Anolis sagrei: one gene and its partner. The protein of the gene in region 1 interacts with the protein of each later gene in a pairwise test. Links are inferred from orthologs where the notes say so. Each region holds a gene or a part of one and is shown in the gene's direction. Other genes may lie near its edges. The genes, in order: YTHDC1 and TRA2B.

The links.
Region 2: the proteins of YTHDC1 (region 1) and TRA2B interact in binary tests that used the Homo sapiens proteins (3 or more experiments, as listed by UniProt). The link is inferred for Anolis sagrei from reciprocal best matches to the Homo sapiens genes YTHDC1 and TRA2B.

The regions. Positions count from the first base shown.
Region 1 is NC_090026.1:55,920,555-55,931,450, reverse strand, and holds the start of YTHDC1 (YTH domain-containing protein 1), read left to right. Parts: upstream 1-5,340; 5' UTR 5,341-5,575; coding exon 5,576-5,603; intron 5,604-10,896. UniProt on the Homo sapiens protein: Regulator of alternative splicing that specifically recognizes and binds N6-methyladenosine (m6A)-containing RNAs.
Region 2 is NC_090023.1:222,897,445-222,908,302, reverse strand, and holds the start of TRA2B (transformer-2 protein homolog beta), read left to right. Parts: upstream 1-6,360; 5' UTR 6,361-6,474; coding exon 6,475-6,510; intron 6,511-10,858. UniProt on the Homo sapiens protein: Sequence-specific RNA-binding protein which participates in the control of pre-mRNA splicing. Can either activate or suppress exon inclusion. Acts additively with RBMX to promote exon 7 inclusion of the survival motor neuron SMN2.

The DNA.
Region 1 (10,896 bases):
GGCAGCCAATGGAGCTCCTTAAACAGGGGGTTGACCTCTCCCTGTAAGGAGCACCAGTTAACAACCCGGCCGCCGCCCATTGAACCAACTGAAATTTCCAGGCTGTTTTCAAGGGCAGCCCCACGTAGAGTGCATTACAGTAGTCCAATCTGGAGGTGACTAAGGCATGGACCACCCTTAAAGCCCTAAACGGTTCCGGCCCAAGATACCTTTCCGACCGCATCTCGGCCTATGAACCCATCAGGACTTTGAGATCTTCCGGGGAGGCCCTGCTCTCGATCCCGCTGGCTTCTCAAGCACGGTTGGCAGGGACGAGAGATAGGGCCTTCTCGGTGGTGGCTCCTCGGCTGTGGAACGCCCTTCCTACAGACATTAGGCTGGCGCCATCTCTCATGACATTCCGAAGAAAGTTGAAGACCTGGATGTTTGTGCAGGCGTTTGAGTAATTTAGTGCAATCTGGTCATGGAACATAGGAATGGAACAATGGACGACGAACCTGGACTACGCTTGGATGATGAGAAGATTGGGAATGGTTGTTTTTTGTAATAATTGTGCATTGTAATTGCTTATTGGTAATTTATGGATAATGTGTTGTTATATATGGAACCACTGCTGTTTCTACTGTTTTAACTGTTTGTGAACCGCTGCGAGTCGCCTTCGGGCTTGAGATATAGCGGTATATAAGCAAAGTAAATAAATAAATAAATAAATAAATAAATGGACCACCCTGGCCAGATCCGCTTTCACAAGGTACAGTCGCAGTTGGCGCACGAGTCTCAATTGTGCAAAGGTCCTCCTGGCCACCGCCGACGCCTGAGCTTCAAGCATAAGTGATGATCAAGCCACCAAACCCTTCCAAAGTGTTCTGTTGGTCATGGAAGTCATGTATGCCATGTTTGGTTGAATTCCATCATTGGTGGAGTTCAGAATGCTCTTTCATTGTAGGTGAACTATAAATCCCAGCAACTACAACTCCCAAATGTCAAGGTCTATTTCCCTTAAACTCCATCTGTGTTCATATTTGGGCATATGGAATATTCGTGCCAAGTTTGGTCCAGATCCAACATTGTTTGAGTCCACAGTGCTCTCTGGATGTGGGTCAACTATAATTCCCAAACTCAATGTCAATGCCCACCTAACCCTTCCAGTGTTTTCTGTTAGTCATGGGGGTCCTGTATGCTACGTTTGGTTCAGTTCCATCATTGGTGGAGTTCAGAATATTCTTTGATTGTAGGGGAACTATAAATCCAAGCAACTATAACTCCTAAATGACAAAATCAAAAAAATTTGAGTGAAGGACATACATTGGGTTGTTAGGTGTCTTGTGTCCAAATTTGGTGTCAATTCGTCCAGTGGTTTTTGAGTTCTGTTAATCCCACAAACGAACATTACATTAGGTTCTTGTGGGTTTTTTCGGGCTATAGAGCCATGTTCTAGAGGCATTTCTCCTGACGTTTCGCCTGCATCTATGGCAAGCATCCTCAGAGGTAGTGAGGTCTGTTGGAATTAGGACAATGGGTTTATATCTCTGTGGAATGGCTGGGGTGGGGCAAGGAGCTCTTCCCTGCTGCAGTTAGGTGTGAATGTTTCAGCTGATCACCTTCATTAGCATTTGAAGGCCTGCCTGAGCCTGGGAAAATCTCTTGCTGGGAGGTGTTAATTTGTGCCTGGTTGTTTCCTCTCTGTTGTTTTGCTGTTGTAATTTTAGAGTTTTTTAATACTGGTAGCCAGATTTTGTTCATTTTCATGGTCTCTTCCTTTCTGTTGAAATTGTCCACATGCTTGTGGATTTCAATGGCTTCTCTGTGTAGTCTGACATGGTGGTTGTTGGTGTGGTCCAGCATTTCTGTGTTCTTAAATAATATGCTGTGTCCAGGCTGGTTCATCAGGTGCTCTGCTATGGCTGACTTCTCTGGTTGAAGTAGTCTGCAGTGCCTTTCATGTTCCTTGATGCATGTCTGGGCGCTGCGTTTGGTGGTCCCTATGTAGACTTGTCCACAGCTGCATGGTACACGGTAGACTCCTGCAGAGGTGAGAGGATCCCTCTTGTCCTTTGCTGAACGTAGCATTTGTTGGATTTTCTTGGTGAGTTTGTAGATGGTTTGTATGTTGTGTTTCCTCATCAGCTTCCCTATGTGGTCAGTGGTTCCCTTGATGTATGGCAGGAACACTTTTCATAGAATCATAGAATCATAGAATCAAAGATTTGGAAGAGACCTCATGGGCCATCCAGTCCAACCCCCTGCCAAGAAGCAGGAATATTGCATTCAAATCACCCCTGACAAATGGCCATCCAGCCTCTGTTTAAAAGCTTCCAAAGAAGGAGCCTCCACCACACTCCGGGGCAGAGAGTTCCACTGCTGAACGGCTCTCACAGTCAGGAAGTTCTTCCTAATGTTCAGATGGAATCTCCTCTCTTGTAGTTTGAAGCCATTGTTCCGCGTCCTAGTCTCCAAGGAAGCAGAAAACAAGCTTGCTCCCTCCTCCCTGTGGCTTCCTCTCACATATTTATACATGGCTATCATATCTCCTCTCAGCCTTCTCTTCTTCAGGCTAAACATGCCCAGTTCCCTAAGCCGCTCCTCATAGGGCTTGTTCTCCAGACCCTTGATCATTTTAGTCGCCCTCCTCTGGACACATTCCAGCTTGTCAATATCTCTCTTGAATTGTGGAGCCCAGAATTGGACACAATATTCCAGGTGTGGTCTAACCAAAGCAGAATAGAGGGGTAGCATTACTTCCTTAGATCTAGACACTATGCTCCTATTGATGCAGGCCAAAATCCCATTGGCTTTTTTTGCCGCCACGTCACATTGTTGGCTCATGTTTAACTTGTTGTCCACGAGGACTCCAAGATCTTTTTCACACGTACTGCTCTCGAGCCAGGCATCACCCATTCTGTATCTTTGCATTTCGTTTTTTCTGCCAAAGTGGAGTATCTTGCATTTGTCGCTGTTGAACTTCATTTTGTTAGTTTTGGCCCATCTCTCTAATCTGTCAAGATCGTTTTGAATTCTGCTCCTGTCCTCTGGACTATTGGCTATCCCTCCCAATTTGGTGTCGTCTGCAAACTTGATGATCATGCCTTCTAGCCCTTCATCTAAGTCATTAATAAAGATGTTGAACAGGACCGGGCCCAGGACGGAACCCTGCGGCACTCCACTTGTCACTTCTTTCCAAGATGAAGAGGAAGCATTAGTGAGCACTCTCTGTGTTTGTCCACTTAACCAATTACAGATCCACCTCACCGTAGTTTTGCCTAGCCCACATTGGACAAGTTTCCTTGCCAGAAGGTCATGGGGGACCTTGTCGAAGGCCTTACTGAAATCCAGGTACGCTACATCCACGGCATTCCCTGCATCTACCCAGCTTGTAGCTCTATCGAAGAAAGAGATCAGATTAGTCTGACATGACTTGTTTTTGATAAATCCATGTTGACTATTAGCGATGACTGCATTTGTTTCTAAGTGTTTGCAGACCACTTCCTTAACAATCTTTTCCAGAATCTTGCCCGGTATCGACGTGAGGCTGACCGGACGGTAGTTGTTTGGGTCATCCTCTGGGTGGATCTTCATCTTTACTCTCGTGGCTTGTTCTTGGTCTTGCAGCTCTTCTGATGTCTGAGGTGGAGTATCCATTGGCCTGGAGAGCCCAGTTGAGGTGGTTCAGTTCATCTTGGAGGAGGTGGGGTTCGCAGATTCTTTTTGCACGGTCTGCCAAGGCTTTAATGGTGCTTCTTTTTTGACTTGGGTGATGGTTGGAGTTTTTATGTAGATATCTATCTGTGTGTGTGGGTTTTCTGTAGACGGTGTGACCCAATTGTTGATCTGGTTTGCGGATGACTAGGACATCTAGAAAAGGCAGTCTTCCTTCATTTTCTTTTTCCATTGTGAATTGGATTTTTGTTAAGATGGTCCAGGAAACTGTTGAGTTGTGTATGCCATGTTTGGTTGAATTCCATCGTTAGTGGAGTTCAGAATACTCTTTGATTGTAAGTGAACTATAAATCCCAGCAACTACAACTCCCAAATGTCAAGGTCTATTTCCTCCAAACTCCATCTGTGTTCATATTTGGGTATATGGAATATCCGTGCCAAGTTTGGTCCAGATCCATCATTGTTTGAGTCCACAGTGCTCTCTGGATGTGGGTGAACTATAATTCCCAAACTCAATGTCAATGCCCACCAGTTTTTTCTGTTGGTCAGGGGAGCTCTGTGTGCTAAGTTTGGCCCAATTCCATCATTGGTGGAGTTCAGAATGCTCTTTGATTGTAGATGAACTATAAATCCCAGCAACTACAAATCCCAAATGTCAAGGTCTATTTCCTCCAAACTCCATCTGTGTTCATATTTGGGTATATGGAATATTCGTGCCAAGTTTGGTCCAGATCCATCATTGTTTGAGTCCACAGTGCTCTCTGGATGTGGGTGAACTATAATTCCCAAACTCAATGTCAATGCCCACCAAACCCTTCCAGTGTTTTCTGTTGGTCATGGGAGCTCTGTGTGCTAAGTTTGGCCCAATTCCATCATTGGTGGAGTTCAGAATGCTCTTTGATTGTAGGTGAACTATAAATCCCAGCAACTACAACTCCCAAATGACAAAATCAAAAAATTTTGAGTGAAGGACATACATTGGGTTCTTAGGTGTCTTGTGCCCAAATTTGGTGTCAATTCATCCAGTGGTTTTTGAGTTCTGTGAATCCCACAAACGAACATTACATTTTTATTTATATAGATAGAAGATAGATAGATAATGAATATTATGAAATATAATTTAATAATAATGCTGGCTTTTGTATTGGGTGATGATGATGATGATGATGATGATGATTGTTATGTGTGTATGTGCAGCTTTCTTCTCACTTCCACCTCCGGAGAAAGAGGTGTAAAGTAGGCTTGGGCAATCCATGGTTCTAAATGGTTCTAAAGTATTTACAAAACTAAAGTTCTGGTGGTGAAAATTTCAGAACTCTAACAAAACTCTCAAAATTTCATGATAAATGGCAGTTCCTAATTGGTTCTGTCATTAAAATTACCAATAATGAAATAATAATGAAATTTTGAAAGTTTTGTTAGAGTTCTGAAATTTTCACCACCAGAACTTTAGTTTTGTAAGTACTTTAGAACCATTTAGAACCATGGATTGCCCAAGCCTAGTGTAAAGCTCGTCGCAATGAACCAAGACGTTCCCGATGTGAGCAAAGAGATGGAGTGCTCTATAAATATATATATCTCTAGGCTTGACGTCGACAGAGCGAACGGCACTTCGCATGCTATGACGTCAGCGTGCGTGAAAGGCGAGGTGCATTGTGGGAGGCAGGGGATTGTCGCGTAGGGAGTCGGGACGGAAGCGAGGGAGGAGGAGGAGGGGCCTGCGCAGTCTCCATTTTGGTCGACGGTGGGGAGCGGCAGAGGAGCGTCGCTCTGCTTGAGGCTCTCGGGCCGCTTCTTGTCATCGCTTCCTTGCCCTCGTCCACATAAGCGAGCGGCGAGCACGCTCTCTCTCAGGCGCAACAAGACGCCAAGGCGCCGTCTGGACGAGGGAGTCGGCGGCGGCGGTGGTAGCGGAACGATGGCGGCCGAGAGCCGGGAAGAGAAAGGTACCCGAGAGCCGCCTCCCCCTCCTTGGTGAACCTTCTCGCTGCCATAGCAACGGGGCCTGGGTGGGAGGCGGAGGCGGGGGCCTCGCGTAGAAGCGCTGCCTGGGAAGGTCGCGCGCTCGCCCTACTCTACCCCAGGCTCGGGCCTTGGATCCCCTTCTTTCAAGGAAAGGTCGCCTCGCAGGCCTTCCTTGCCTCCCTCCCCCTGTTTCACGAGAATCTTCGGGGAGGAAGGGGGCACTTCAAGCCCCCTCTACACTGCCATACAGAATCCAGATTATCTGCTTTGAGCTGGATTAAAGGCAGTGTAGACCAGTGGTTCTCAACCGTCCTAACGCCGCGACCCCTTAGTACAAGTCCTCATGTTGTAGTGACCCCCAACCATAACGTTATTTTCGTTGATACTTCATAACTGTAATTTTGCTACAGTTGTGAATTGCAATGCAAATATCTGATATGCAGGATATATTTTCAGTCACTGGACCAAATTTGGCACAAATGCCTGATACGCCCAAATTTGAATACTGGTGTGGTTGGGGATGATTTATTTTGTCATTTGGTAATGCTGGAGTTGCTGGGATTTATAGTTCACCTTACATCAAATAGCCTTCTGAACTCCACCAATGATGGAATTGAATCAAACTTGGCACACAGAATTCCCATGACCAAGAGAAAATACTGGGAAGGTGTGGTGGACATTGACCTTGAGTTTTTGGAGTTCATCTATATCCAGAGAACACTGTGGACTCAAGCAATGATGGGTCTGGATCAAACTTGGCACAAATACTCAATATGGCATTTGGGAGTTGTAGTTGTTGGGATTTATAGTTCACCCACAATGAAATAGCATTCTGAACCCCACCAATAATAGAATTGGACCAAACTTCCCACCCTAAACCCCCATGACCAACAGAAAATAATATGTTTTCTGATGGTCTTTGGTGACCCCTCTGACACCCCCTCCCGACCCCCACAGGGATCCCGACCCCCAGGTTGAGAAACACTGGTGTAGACGCATAATCCAGTTCAAAGCGGATATCTGATTTGATAATTTGGATTATATGGCACTGTAGAAGGGGCCTTGGTTTCTCCACTAGCATATAGTAAATGTGTTTTTGATCCTAATTTAAAACAAAAACCAGCACATAGGTGCTTTTTCCAAGTCATCAGATGAGATATGTCTGCATGGTTTGAGGCCTATCATTAAAATATCCAACCTATTTCCCTGGACATGCCCAGCATTTTCAAATTTTAATTCTTACATTTGGCCCTGCCATCGGTTTTTAATTGCACCGTGTCATTATCGTATTGTTTTGCTTTCTTATGAGTTATTTATTGTTGTATTGTTGTTATGTTTTATGATGTATTTGGGCTCGGCCTCTTGTAAGCCGCACTGAGTCCTGTGGGAGATTGTAGCAGGGTATAAATAAAGGTTTATTTGAGCTGGATTAAAGGCAGTGTAGACGCATAATCCAGTTCAAAGCGAATATCTGATTTGATAATCTGGATTATATGGCACTGTAGAAGGGGCCTTGGTTTCTCCACTGGTATATAGTAAATGTGTTTTTGATCCTAATTTAAAACAAAAAATAGAGGTATAAATAAAGGTTTATTATTATTATACAATACATACAATACAGCAATACATGGAGCGAGAGTTGCCAGATGTTCAAGATGGGTTTAAAAAAGGCAGAGGAACGAGAGACCAGATTGCCAATATCCGCTGGATAATGGAGAAAGGCAGGGAGTTTCAGAAAAACATCTACTTCTGCTTCATTGACTATTCTAAAGCCTTTGACTGTGTGGATCATAATAAATTGTGGCAAGTTCTTGGTGGGATGGGCATACCAAGCCACCTTGTCTCTCTCCTGAGGAATCTGTACAAGGACCACGTAGCAACAGTAAGACTGACCACGGAACAACAGACTGGTTCAAGATTGGGAAAGGCGTACGGCAAGGCTGCATACTCTCACCCAACCTTTTAAACTTGTATGCAGAACACATCATGCGATGTGCAGGGCTTGATGAATGCAAAGCTGGGTTGAAAATTGCTGGAAGAAACATTAACAACCTCAGATATGCAGATGACACCACTCTGATGGCCGAAAGCGAGGAGGAGCTGAGGAGCCTTCTAATCAAGGTGAAAGAAGAAAACGCAAAAGCCGGGTTGCAGCTAAACATAAAAAAAACCAAGATTATGGCAACAAGAATGATTGACAACTGGAAAATAGAGGGAGAAAATGTGGAGGGCGTGACAGACTTTGTATTTCTAGGTGCAAAGATTACTGCAGATGCAGACTCTGGCCAGGAAATCAGAGGACGCTTACTTCTTGGGAGGAGAGCAATGTCCAATCTCGATAAAATAGTAAAGAGCAGAGACATCACACTGGCAACAAAGATCCGCCTAGTCAAAGCCATGGTATTCCCGGTAGTAACCTACGGATGTGAGAGCTGGACCTAAGGGAAGGCTGAGCAAAGAAAGATGCTTTTGAGCTGTGGTGTAGGAGGAAAGTGCTGAGAGTGCCTTGGACTGCGAGAAGATCCAACCAGTCCATCCTCCAGGAAATAAAGCCCGACTGCTCACTGGAGGGAAGGATACTAGAGACAAAGTTGAAGTACTTTGGCCACATCATGAGGAGACAGCAAAGCCGACAATTATGCTGAGAAAAGTAGAAGGTAAAAGGAAGAGGGGCCGACCAAGGGCAAGATGGATGGATGGCATCCTTGAAGTGACTGGACTGACCTTGAAGGAGCTGGGGGTGGTTACAGCCGACAGGGAGCTCTGGCGTGGGCTGGTCCATGAGGTCACGAAGAGCCGGAGACGACTGAACGAATGAACAACAAATTATTTATTTATTTATTTCATAGAATCATAGTTGGAAGAGACCTCATGGGCCATCCAGTCCAACCCCCTGCCAAGAAGCAGGTATATTGCATTCAAAGCACCCCTGACAGATGGCCATCCAGCCTCTGTTTAAAAACCTCCAAAGAAGGAGCCTCCACCACACTCCGGGGCAAAGAGTTCCACTGCTGAACGGCTCTTAATCAGGAAGTTCAGATGGAATCTCTTGTAGTTTGAAGCCATTGTTCCGTGTCCTAGTCTCCAAGGAAGCAGAAAACAAGCTTGCTCTCTCCTCCCTGTGACGTCCTCTGACATATTTATACATGGCTATCATATCTCCTCTCAGCCTTCTCTTCTTCAGGCTAAACATGCCCAACTCCTTAAGCCGCTCCTCATAGGGCTTGTTCTCCAGACCTTTGATCATTTTAGTCGCCCTCCTCTGGACACATTCCAGCTTGTCAATATCTTTCTTCAATTGTGGTGCCCAGAATTGGACACAGTATTTCAGGTGTGGTTTAACCAAGGGTAACATTACTTCCCTAGATCTAGACACTATGCTCCTATTGATGCAGGCCAAAATCCCATTGGCTTTTTTTGCCGCCACATCACATTGTTTGTGCTAGATGTGAGCTCTGTGTTACAGCAGTTCAGTAGTTATTTAAATGCTGCATAAAACGTGATGGACAACATTAAAACGTGTAGAAAATATGGGTTGCTCTTCCACTACTGAGTATTTGTGGGCAGAATTAAGAACAAAGCGGGGTAAGAGGAATAATGTATTTAAATAGACTTACTTTACAAGTGTGAGTCGGCCCTGTTATCACACAGCTTGATCCTTGACATAATTATGCATTTATTTTTAGGTTCAGTGCTTGTTTTAAAAATAATTTTAGAAAGCTTTTCAAACCCAAGGAGGGGGGGGGGTCCTTTTTGCATTTCACAGGAACAACGTACTGCAGAGTGGTGACTGCAGTAGTTCTGCCTTCTGTGTGCTGAGGCAAATATTGACAAGGTAGTCTTGCACAGTCAGGTTTATGTAGGAACACCTTATATAGGTGTATCATGATGACTATGAAATGAACTGGAAGATTGTAGCCTGCATTTTCATTTCCATCTTGTCTCCTGGAGATGCCATCAGCTGGAGATGCCTCTCCCCAACACAAACTTGCTCTGGGCCAGAGTGAAGAGAGGGGAGGCCAGGGGACAGTTCCACCTTGTCTCCTGTGCTATTCTAATAATATAATATATTGTATATACATATAATATTTATAGTATTAGATATATAATACTATATTATATATCTAATACTATATATCTAATACTATATAATATTATATATTATATACTAATAATATAATATATTGTATGTAATATATACCTTCTGAGCCGCTCGTGAGTCCCCTTCGGGGTTAGAAGGGCGGCATGTAAATGTCGTAAATAAATACATAAATAAATCTGAACTGCTGAAGATTAGACTATAGGGATAATATTTGAGGATGGAAGGCTTAGATAGTAAATTGTTAGTTCATAGGCAGTTCACCAAAGTATGTTGCTTGTACTTATGAATTTGAAATCTTTTTTTAGACTAATGTATAATTTGAGGTTCTTGTAAAGATGGGAAATAGAAATTTTAAACTGTAACACCCATAAAACATTTTTGTGGGCTTTCTCAATACCTACTTTACATGTGTTACACATTAACCGTATTTTGTTTTGTTGGCAACTCCTCTAGTCTGGGGAAACTGCTACAAAAAGCTTTTCTGGTTAAACATACCAATAAAAATCTACTATTAGGATGGCACTGATCTAGTATTAGGATGGCACCAATACTCAGAATGAATTATTTGCTTTTGATGAAAATTATGTTCCCAATCACATCTCTGCCAGATCACCTGTCAAGGAAAAATTGCATTTATATACATACACATGCATATTCTGAGGGTGCCTTGGACCACAAGAAGATCCAACCAGTCCATATTTGAGGAAATAAAGCCCACCGGTCGTTGGAGGGAAGGATATTAGAGGCAAAGATGAAGTACTTTGGCCACATCATGAGAAGACAGGAAATCTTAGAGAAGACAGTGATGCTTGAGAAAATGGAAGGAAAGGGGAATAGGGGCCGACCAAGGGCAAGATGGATGGATGGTATCCTTGAAGTGACTTGCTTGACTCTGAAGGAGCTGGGGGTGGTGACGGCTGACAGGGAGCTATGGCATGGGCTGGTCCATGAGGTTACGAAGAGTCAGAAACGACTGAAGGCATAAACAACAACAACACATGCACACATATTAGGGAAAAGGCAGAACTACTTAATGCCTTCTTTGCCTCGGTCTTCTCACAAAAAGAGAGTCTTCAACCTCAGCAAGATGGAGTGGATGAGGGTTTGGAGGACATCCAACCCCAAATTAGGAAAGAAGTCGTTCAGGAATACCTGGCCGCTCTTAATGAGTT
Region 2 (10,858 bases), on another chromosome or scaffold:
TCAAGATCTATTTTTCCCCAAACTTCACCAGTGTTTGCATTTGGGCATATTAAGTATTTGTGCCAAGTTTGGTCCAGATCCATGATTGTTTGAGTCCACAGTGCTCTCTGGATGTAGGTGAACTCCACTCCAAAACTCCAGGTCAATACCCACCAAACCCTTCCAGTATTTTCTGTTGGTCATGGGAATTCTGTGTGCCAAGTTTGGTTCAATTCCATCATTCAGAATGCTATTTGATTATAGGTTAACTATAAATCCCAGCAACTACAACTCCCAAATGACAAAATCAACCCCTCGCCCTCAATCCCACCAGTATTCAAATTTGGACGTTATCAGGTATTTGTGCCAAATTTGGTCCAGTGAATGAAAATACATCCTGCAGATCAGATATTTACATTATGATTCATAAAAGTAGCAAAATTACAGTTATGAAGCAGCAATGAAAATAATTTTATGGTTGGGTGACAACGCAACATGAGGAACTGTATTAAGGGGTCGTGGCATTAGGAAGGTTGAGAACCACTGCCCTAAAGGCATCAGATCCCATATGATTTTTAAAACCAAGAAGGGTCAGCAGTACTTAGATAAGGGATCACCAATAAAAACTAGGGGCTGTAGGCTATATTTCAGAGGAAGAAATTAGCAAATGACTCCTTCATATTCCTTGCCTAAGAAGACCATATGCATGGAGTCACTACAAATTGAAAGGCAACTTAAATGCCCATTGGCTGTCAAGTCGCTCAAGTTGCTCCTGAAATGAAAAAAAATGTATATTTTACCCATGTTTTTTAAACACTACAAATTGTTTAAAAGCCTAACACACTTCTCTTTTAAATCATTGTAAGTTGCCTTGTGCCTTAGGTCTAGAGAAAGAGTATTACTTTAGCCATGTTATCTTAATTTATAATCCAAGTTTGAGTCCCATTTTGTGAGAATGTCAGGATACAAAACAAATGAAAAAACAAGACTGCAAGCTGACCTGCAGTTTGGTATATTACCATCATTATTATTAATCACTTTTCCCATAGTTCAATCTTATTATTGTTGTTAGTAGTAGTAGTAGTAGTAGTAGTAGTAGTGTTGCTGTTGTTGCTGTTGTGATTATCTACTATTGTTGTTATTGTTACTTATATCCGTCTTTTCTCTCAGGACCTAGACCCAAAGATGCTCACAACCTTAAAAATGCTAATTTAAAAATCTATTAAACACAAATATTAAAACAAAAGGAAATGTTGGAATATGCACAAAGAGTATGACATTAAGAGGTTGCAAACTGGCATCAGCCCCTAAAGCAAATATTTATTAGTTTTTTCTGTAATTTAAGAGATTTGCATTGATTTTAATGATTTAATTATTTATTTTTTAATATTCCTGATATTGAGAAATTGGACCCTCAAATTATGAAATATATAACATAATATGAAATGGAAACTGCAGCTCCACAAAACCCATTAATCATTGTTGTAAACTGTCTCTAGAATGTCGTCTGGTCACACCCAAATCCCCTGCCTTTAATTTCTATAATCGTTTCACAATGGATTGGGAGATAAGGTGGGGGGTGAATTACTCAACTATGTACATAGTGGTAATTGGGGATTTCAATTACTTTGATATTTGTTGGAAAACAAACTTTGCCAAGAAAAAGTTCAGCAAATTCCTCACTTGCCTTTCTGACAATTTTATTGTTCAGAAGGTAGAAGAGGCAATAAGGGGATCAGCTATTCTGGATCCGATCCTAAACAACACTGAGGATCTGGTCAATGGAGTTGAAGTGGTGGGATCCTTAGGTGGGAGTGACCATGTGCCCCTGGAGTTTGTGATATAATGATATAAAACTAAGAGAAGTCAACCACGCATTCAAGAACTTTCGGTTGTTTTTACAAAATTCACAACATTAAAGGAAATACTGAGCCTGATTCCTTGGACAGAAACACTAAAAAAAAAGAAGGGAGTTAATAATGGATGGGAGTTTCTTAAAAATACTTACTTAGGCGATCCCTCATAGCCCAAGGATGATGGTCGTCCATGTGTAGTATCGTGGCGGTAGATCCGTAGGTGGCTGTGGAGCCCTATTGTTGATCGATATATTCTCCCACAGTGAGGACATTGGTTTTCAGGTGGAAGGTGGTCCCAGTCAGGGATGGCTTGACACGCCTTCCTCTTGGCATGTTTCTCCCTTTCGCCCTCCACTCATGCCTCTTCGAATTCTGCAGCACTGCTGGTCACAGCTGAACTTCAGTTAGAGCACTCAAGGGCCAGGGCTTCCCAATTCTCGATATCTATGCCACAGTTTTTAAGGCTGGCTTTAAGCCCATCTTTAAATCTCTTTTCCTGTCCACCAACATTATGTTTCCTGTTCTTGAGTTGGGGATATAGTAACTGCTTTGGGAGACGACATTCAGGCAAACATGGCCAGTCCAGCGGAGTTGATGACATAGGAGCATTGCTTCAATGCTGGTGGTCTTTGCTTCTTCCAGCACATTTACATTTTTCTGCCTGTCTTCCCAGGAGATTTGGAGGATTTTTCAGAGTCAATGCTGATGGAATTGTTCCAGGAGTTGAGTGTGACGTCTGTAGACAGTCCACGTTTTGCAGGCATATAGCAGGGTTGGGAAGACAATAGCTTTATAAACAAGCACCTTGATCTCCCAATTCTCAAACACTCTCTGCTTCATTAGAAAAAATGCTGCACTTGCAGAGCTCAGGCGGTATTGTAATTCAGTGTCAATGTTGACTTTTGTGGAGAGGTGGCTGCCAAGGTAGCGGAAATTGTCAACATTTTATAATGTTACACCATTAAGCTGTATTTCTGGCATTGCAGAGGTATTGGCTGGTGAATGCTGGAAGAGCACTCCAGTTTTCTTAATGTTCAATGAGAGGCCGAACTTCTCGTATGCTTTGGCAAAGGTGTTTAGAGTGGCTTGTAGGTCTTCTTCTGAATGTGCACAGACTACACGAAATTTAAGGAAATACTGAGTGTGATTCCATGGACAAGAATACTAAAAGATAAGGGAGTCAGTGACGAGTGAGAGTTTCTTAAAAGTGAGATACTGAAAGCACAATTGTAAACAGTGCCAGCAAGAAGAAGAAAAAAAGGAGAAATGTAAAACAACCAGAATGGGTGTCCAAACAACTTTTAACAAAGCTAAGATTTAAAAGAGACATGCACAAAAAATGGAAAAAGGAGGAAATCACCAAAGAGGAATTCAAATAACCAACATATGTAGAGAAATGTTTTGTGAAGTTAAGGCGTAAAATGAGCTCAGGCTTGCCAGAGAGATTAAAAACAATTTAAAAGGGTTCTTTGGTGGGTCCTCTGCATGGAGAAAGTGGTGAAATGCTAACAGGGGATAGGGAAAAGGCAGAACTGCTCAACACCTTCTTTGCCTCGGTCTTCTCCCAAAAAGAGATTGGTGTTCAATCTGAGCAATATGGAGCGGACGAGGTAATAGAGGAAATGCAACCCAAAATAGGTAAATAAGTAGTCCAGGAATACCTGGCTACTCTAAACGAATTCAAGTCTCTAGGGCCAGTTGAACTACATCCAAGAGTTTTGAAGGAACTAGCAGAAGTCATTTCAAAACAACTGGAAATAATCTTTGAGAATGCTTGGAGAACAGGAGAAGTCCAAGCAGATAGGAGGAGGGCAGATCCCTATCTTCAAGATGGGAAAAAAGAGGATCCAAACAGTTACCATCTAGTCAACCTGACATTAATACTAGGAAAGATCCTGAAATAGATCATGAAGGAGATAGTCTGCAATCACTTAGAAAAGAATGCTGTGATTACTAGCTAACATGGATTTGTCAAAAACAAGTCATGCCAGACACATCTTATCTCTTTTTTCAATATAGTTACAAGCTTAGTAGATGCAGGAAATGCTGTGGATGCCACATATTTTGATTTCAGTAAGGACTTCAACGAAGTCCTCCTTGACCTTCTTGAAAACCTCTTTTCTTGAGTTTATCGCCTTGTGAGTTCCTTGGTTTGACATTCCAGGCCTTCAACTGTTTCGTTTTGCATCTCAAAAGAAGGTGATGGGTGTTTTATGGCTCTGTTTTCTCTTCTTTCAACTGGTATTTATTATGTGTTTCACTTAAGGCTGAATTCCTTCTAATGCTAAAGACTAAGTCTAGTTATTTAATCAAACCTATTCTACATGTTCTTGCTATTGTTCAATAATCAAATGCAATCAGGCTCTTTGTTCCCTTCAATATGGTAATGTAGATCAAGCCTTTGTCTCTCATATGTCCAAGGCCTTAGTCCTTCCAGAGAGATGGCAAGCTATTTAACCTCAGCAGGCTAAAAACCAGAACCAAGGTTACAACAACTTACTTACTTACAGTATTTATATTTCGCCCTTCTCACCCGACAGGGGACTCAGGGCGGATTACAATGTGCACATATATGGCAAACATTCAATGCCAATTTGACATACAGTGTATACAGACATACACAGAGGCTATTTAACTTTTTCTGGCCGCCAGGGGAGCTGTCGCTTTCATCGTCCATCTGCGACACTGATGAAATACTTCCGCATTCTCTGCATGCTTTTTCTGGAGTGCTTTGCTGGAGTCTTTTTTTATGGCCTCATAAATTAGTTAATTTGATGCTCCCCCACAATCAACTCCGCTGGACTGGCCACGTTGTCTGGATGTCCAACCACCGTCTCCAAAAGCAGTTGCTGTACTCCGAACTCAAGAACGGAAAACGGAATGTTGGTGAGCAGGAAAAGAGATTTAAAGATGGGCTCAAAGCCAACCTTTAAAACTCTGGCATAGACACTGAGAACTGGGAAGCCCTGGCCCTTGAGCGCTCCAGCTGGAGGTCAGCTGTAACCAGCAGTGCTGTAGAATTTGAAGAGGCACGAATGGAGGGCGAAAGAGAGAAATGTGGCAAGAGACTGCCTTACACCTGGAAACCAGTGCCCTCACTGCGGGAGAAGATGCAGATCAAGAATAGGGCTCTACAGCCACCTACAGACCCACCAGTACACTGACCTTGGAAGACTATCCTACTCTGACGAGGGATCGCCTAAATAAGGTAGTGTTGATCAAGTCTTTGTCTCTCATATGTCCAAGGCCTTAATCCAGGGGTCCTCAAACTTTTTAAACAGAGGGCGAGGTCACAGTCCCTCAAACTGTTGGAGGGCTGGATTATAATTTGAAAAAAACACAAATGAATTCCTATGCACACTGCACATATCTTATTTGTAATGCAAAAAACCCACTTAAAAACAATACAATAATTAAAATGAAGAACAATTTTAACCAATATAAACTTATTATCATTTCAATGGGAAGTGTGGGCCTGCTTTTGGCTGATGAAATAGGATTGTTGTTGTTATTGTATGCTTTCAAGTCGTTCCAAACTTACAACAGCAAAACAACAGAGAGGAAACAATCTGGGACATCTAATTACCTCTCAACAAAAGGCTGCTCCAGGCACTGCCAGGCAGGGCCGTAGCCATAAAAAAATTCGGGGAGGGTTGAAAAATTTTGGGGAGAAGGGAGTTTTGAAAATTTCAGGGGGGGGGGGGCTTGAAAATTTCGGGGGGGGGGCTTGAAAATTTCAGGGGGGGGGCTTGAAAATTTCGGGGGGGGGCTTGAAAATTTCGGGGGGGGGGAGTTGAAACCTGCCTCTTAGTTCACGCTGAAGCAGGGGGCAGAGCAGCCTTCAATAGCTTGCAGCTCCGCCCCTGTCAACCACCTCCACCAAGTCTGGCCTCCTTAATGAGAGCATTCAACACACACACACCCAACTTGGTTGCTTCGCTACATTGGCTATTGCTGCAAGTAATGACAGTCTGAATAAATTGTAAATATTTGCTTGAGATAGTGCTTGCAATTCTGGATGGACTCTTAATTTTTTGCGTCTCATAGATTTAGCATGGGGATTTGGTTAACCAGTTAAAATTCATGAGTAAACCAGGGGAGAAAATTTTCGGGGGGGGGGGGTTGAACCCCTAACCCCCCCCCCCCTCGCTACAGGCCTGCTGCCAGGCTATCAAATGCTAATCAAGGTGATCAGTTAAAACATTCACACCTAGCTCCAGCAGACAAGAGTCCTTTGTCCCACCCTGGTCATTCCAGAGATATATAAACCCTTTTTCCCCAGTTCTAACAGACCTCACAACCTCTGAGGATGCTTGCCACAGATGCAGGCGAAACGTCAGGAGAGAATGCCTCTAGAACATGGCCCTATAGCCCGAAAAAAAACCTACAACAACTCATTGATTCCGGCCATGAAAACCTTCGACAATACAATAAAGCGTTTCTGGAGGCTTCGAAGGGCAGCACGTGCCTCTCTCCAGCGCGAGGCGGTGGGGGGGGGGAGCTGTGACGTCACGTTCGCGGGCAAGGGGGCGGGGTCTGCTCCGGCTGCGTCACTTCCTCTGCGGAGAAGGCTGCCTGGCGAAGGGACGGTTCGGTGCTAGCAACCGCGGTCGGCGTCCCGAGCTCTGAGGCGGGAGACATGAGTGACAGCGGGGAACAGAACTACGGCGAGCGGGTAATACGGAGGCGCCAAGCGGAGGGGAAAAAACAAAACACAAGCAAAATAGGCCGTTAGATAGATATATATATTTATTTAAAATACCCCCTTTTTGGGGGGTTTTGTTTTCTGAAAGGGAAGATGGATACAAGAGGGAAAGGGCCAAAGATGGAGGTCTGGGGGGGGGCGTGTTTGGACGTCCAGAGGGAGTCGGGTGGGTTTGGCGCGCGAGGGGGGGGAGAAAAAGCCCGCCGTTTGGTTCTGACGTGGAGTTCTCTCTGCGGTGAGATCCTCGGCCGGCGCCATCTTGGGCTAGTGACCCGAAGCAGCGCGCGCCGCCTCCTCCTCCTCCTCCTTTGCTGCTGCTGTTGCCGCCGCGGGGACAAAATGGCCGCCCTGGTCTCGCCTCGCGGGAGAAAGAGAAAGCAGGCGCCTTCCTCGCGCTCCCCCCCTTTCCTATACGTGTAACCCAGGACCAACGTTTTAGGAAGGCAGAGGTCGCTCTCGGCGGCCTCGCCTTTCAATTTCGAATTATTAGAACCAGTATTGGTTTCTCTCACCACTCTGAGAGAAGGAAGAGTGGCTCCTGCGTGGCTTGGCAGAAGCCAGGCAGTAATCCTAGAGTTGGAAGAGACCTCATGGGCCATCCAGTCCAACCCCCCTGCCAAGAAGCAGGAATATTGCATTCAAAGCACCACAGAATCATAAAATCCTAGAGTTGGAAGAGACTTCATGGGCCATCCAGTCCAACCCCCTGCCAAGAAGCAGGAATATTGCATTCAAAGCACCGCCGACAGATGGCCATCCAGCCTCTGTTTAAAGACCTCCAAAGAAGGAGCCTCCACCGCACTCCGGGGCAGAGAGTTCCACTATTGAACAGCTCTCAAAGTCAGGAACTTCTTCCTCATGTTCAGATTGAATCTCGGTTAACACTTAGTGCTGTGCAGTCCTGGGATTTGTAGTTTACAGAGGCACTAGCTCTCTTAGGCCCCTTCCACACAGATGAATAAAACCCCACATTATCTGCTTTGAACTGGAATATATTGCAGTGTGGACTCGGATAACCTAGGGCAGTGGTTCTCAACCTGGGGTCCCCTGATGTTTTTTAACTCCCAGCTGGTAAACTGGCTGGGATTTCTGGGAGTTGTAGGCCAAAAACATCTGGGGACCCCAGGTTGAGAACCACTGCCCTAGGGGCTCTTCCACACAGCCATATATCCCAAAATATCAAGGCAAAAAATCCCACATGATCTGCTTTGAACTGGGGGCCCTTCCACACAGCCTTATATCCCAAAATATTAGGGGCAGAAAATACCACATCTGCTTTGAACTGGATTATCTGAATCCACACTCAGATAATGTGGGATTTTCTGCCTTGATGTTTTTGGGATACAGAGCTGTGTGTAAGGGCCCCCAGTTCAAAGCAGATATTGTGGGATTTTCTGCCTTGATATTTTGGGATATAGAGCTGTGTAGAAAGGCCCCCAGTGATTCTTGTTTGTGGGATGTGTGTGTGGCCCAGGCCCCTTCCACACAGATGTATAAAATCCACATTGAGCTGGATTATATGGCAGTGTGGACTCGGATAATCCAGTTCAAAGCAGATGTTGTAGGGGTTTCTGCCCTTATATTCTAGGATATAGGGCTGTGTGGAAGGGCCCTAAGGCAAAAGACCTTGTAAAATTACTATTCTGATGCAGATTTCCGCCGCTTCAGTGGTTATGGCTCAATCATGGGGCTTGTTGTTTGGAGAAGCACCAGCTCTCTTAGGACCCTTCTACACAACTATATAACCCAGAATATCTGCTTTGAACTGGATTATCCGAGTCCACACTGCCATATATACCAGTTCAAAGCAGATAATGTGGGATTTTATTCAGCTGTGTGGAAGGGACCTTAGATAGAGTATGCTGAACACATTGTAAAACAGGCATGGAAAAAATTTGGCCCTCTGGGTGTTTGGACTGCAACTCCCACAATTCCTAACAGTTGTTAGGCTGTTAGGAATTGTGGGAGTTATAGTTCAAAACACCTGGAGGACCAAAATATGAATAACGAAACCACAACATGATCAAGAATCTCTAAGCAGTTTTTTTTACTAGTGTTGCAGTTTCCATATATTATATCACACCATCCCATTTTATAGGGTTACATCATGTGCATGCTCATGTGAGTGATTTATATAAGTTCTGGACTGGGTCAGTTTTCTTTGACGTTTAATAAGCTTTTCTATAATCCCTCCTTATTATCCAACTTTTTCGCTTATTCAGCGTTCTGTCAGCCCATTTATGTTGGATAAGCGAGACTCTACTGCAGGGGTCCACAAACTTTTTAAACAGAGCCAGGTCACAGTCTCTCAAACTGCTGGAGGACTGGATTACAATTTGAAGAAAAAAAATTAATAAATTCCTATGCACACTGCACATATTTTATTTGTAGTGCAAATAACACTTCAATACAAAAATTGAAATGAAGAACAATTTTAACAAATATAAACTTAATAGTATTTCAGTGGGAAGTGTGGGCCTCCTTTTGGCTGATGAGATAGGATTGTTGTGTGCTTTCAAGTCGTTTCAGACTTAGGTTGACCCTGAGTGAGGACTGGATAAATGACCTTGGAGGGCCGCATCTGGCCCTCGAGCCTTAGTTTGAGGACCCCTGCTCTACTGTATTCTGAAATCCAAAGCATTTGGTCACAATCATTTGGGGCAAGAGATACTCAACCTTCATATTCTTTGGCAAACCTAATCTGGGTTCTAAACCTCTGGATTTTGAGTGAAGGAGGAAGTTAGACTTAACCTATATTTTTAAAAACATGCTTGACAGTATCTTGGGAACTTGTATTGTAAGCTGTATTAAAAGATGGTACCTTAAATACCAAATTTCAAGCAAGTAGCAAAAATGTTTAAGGAAGAAATATGCTAGTAAATTGGAATAAAAAACTCAATACAATAACTTTGGATTTTTAATGTTTCAACTTTTATTGTGTAACCTACATTGTGGAGGCTATCCTTTAAGCAAAGACATTGTGAAGGCTATCCTTTAAGCAAAGAGGGCTATATTTCCTATACTAAAATTGAGACATACAATAGAGGCTTAGAACCACCTTGATAGTTTGAATTAAGGCCACATTATGAAGTTGTCTTCCTGGTTGGAGGAATAGACAGGAGAATATGTGGGTGACTTTATTTTATTGTGCACTGATGTTTTAATTTAACTGTTGAATTGTTTTGTATTTTATATTGTTGTTGATTGATTTAGGCATCTAATTATGCCTCCTATGTAAGCCGCCCTGAGTCCCCCCCCCCCCCCGGGGTGAGAAGGGCGGGGTATAAGTAATTGAAATAAATAAATAAATAAAAATTTGCTTCAGCAAGAAAACACATGAAAAATAAAGTGGCAGAGTATGTTCTAGACTAGCTCCTTTTCTCTGTTAATCTTAAACAAAGGAGCATAGTTATTTACCTGTAAAGGACAATACAGTTCAATAGTTGTATAAAATTGAGAGCTAATTGAGAAGCGGCAGTAATCTGCATAGGAATAGTAGTTTTACAAGGTCCTTTGCCTTAGAGCCCATTGAGAAGTGAAATTGCAGAAAGATTAGAAAATAAATACTATAGCTTGGTGTCCAATTTTAAATTAACTTTAAACATTTATTCTAGGCTGCATTTTATTGATTTAAAGTAGTTTATATTATTTTACTGTTACACTGCTATTGTTACTTTAAATTTTGGATTTTAATGTTTTTAATTTTATTGTGTAACCTACATTGTGGAGGCTGCCCTTCAAAGCAAAGCAATATTGAAAAAAACAAACAAAAGTAGACATATTGGATAGCTTCATTGTGGTTGGTGAACATGAGTATGGCAGCTCCTTGCCTGTTTGTCTTTTACTTGCATGTGCATCTCCTGTTTAGATGAACTAGATTTGGAGGAATACCAAGCTGAAATCAGGTATCTTTCAAATCTAGTGATTGATACTGATTCAGCACTGGATATTAGGGATTCATAAAATACTTGTGTATCTGGATATTGCAGATGTTGCAGATACGCTCCTGGGGCCTTTCCACACAGCCATATATATCAAGGCAGAAAATGCCATAATATTAATAATAATAACTTTATTTTTATACCCAGCCACCATCTCCCTGAAGGGACTCGGAGCTGCTTACAAGTGGGACCATGCCCAGGACATAAAACAAAATGCAGTTAGAGACATAATAACATGCAACGGTCCAGTTATAACAATTAAAAACAACAAAGTATAAAAAAGCATTTAAAACCATTTCAAACCAACTGAGTAACCAGGAATATGATAAGCATGATCAGGCTAGAGAGGGCTGGGCGTGGACTCTTGCAACAAGCAG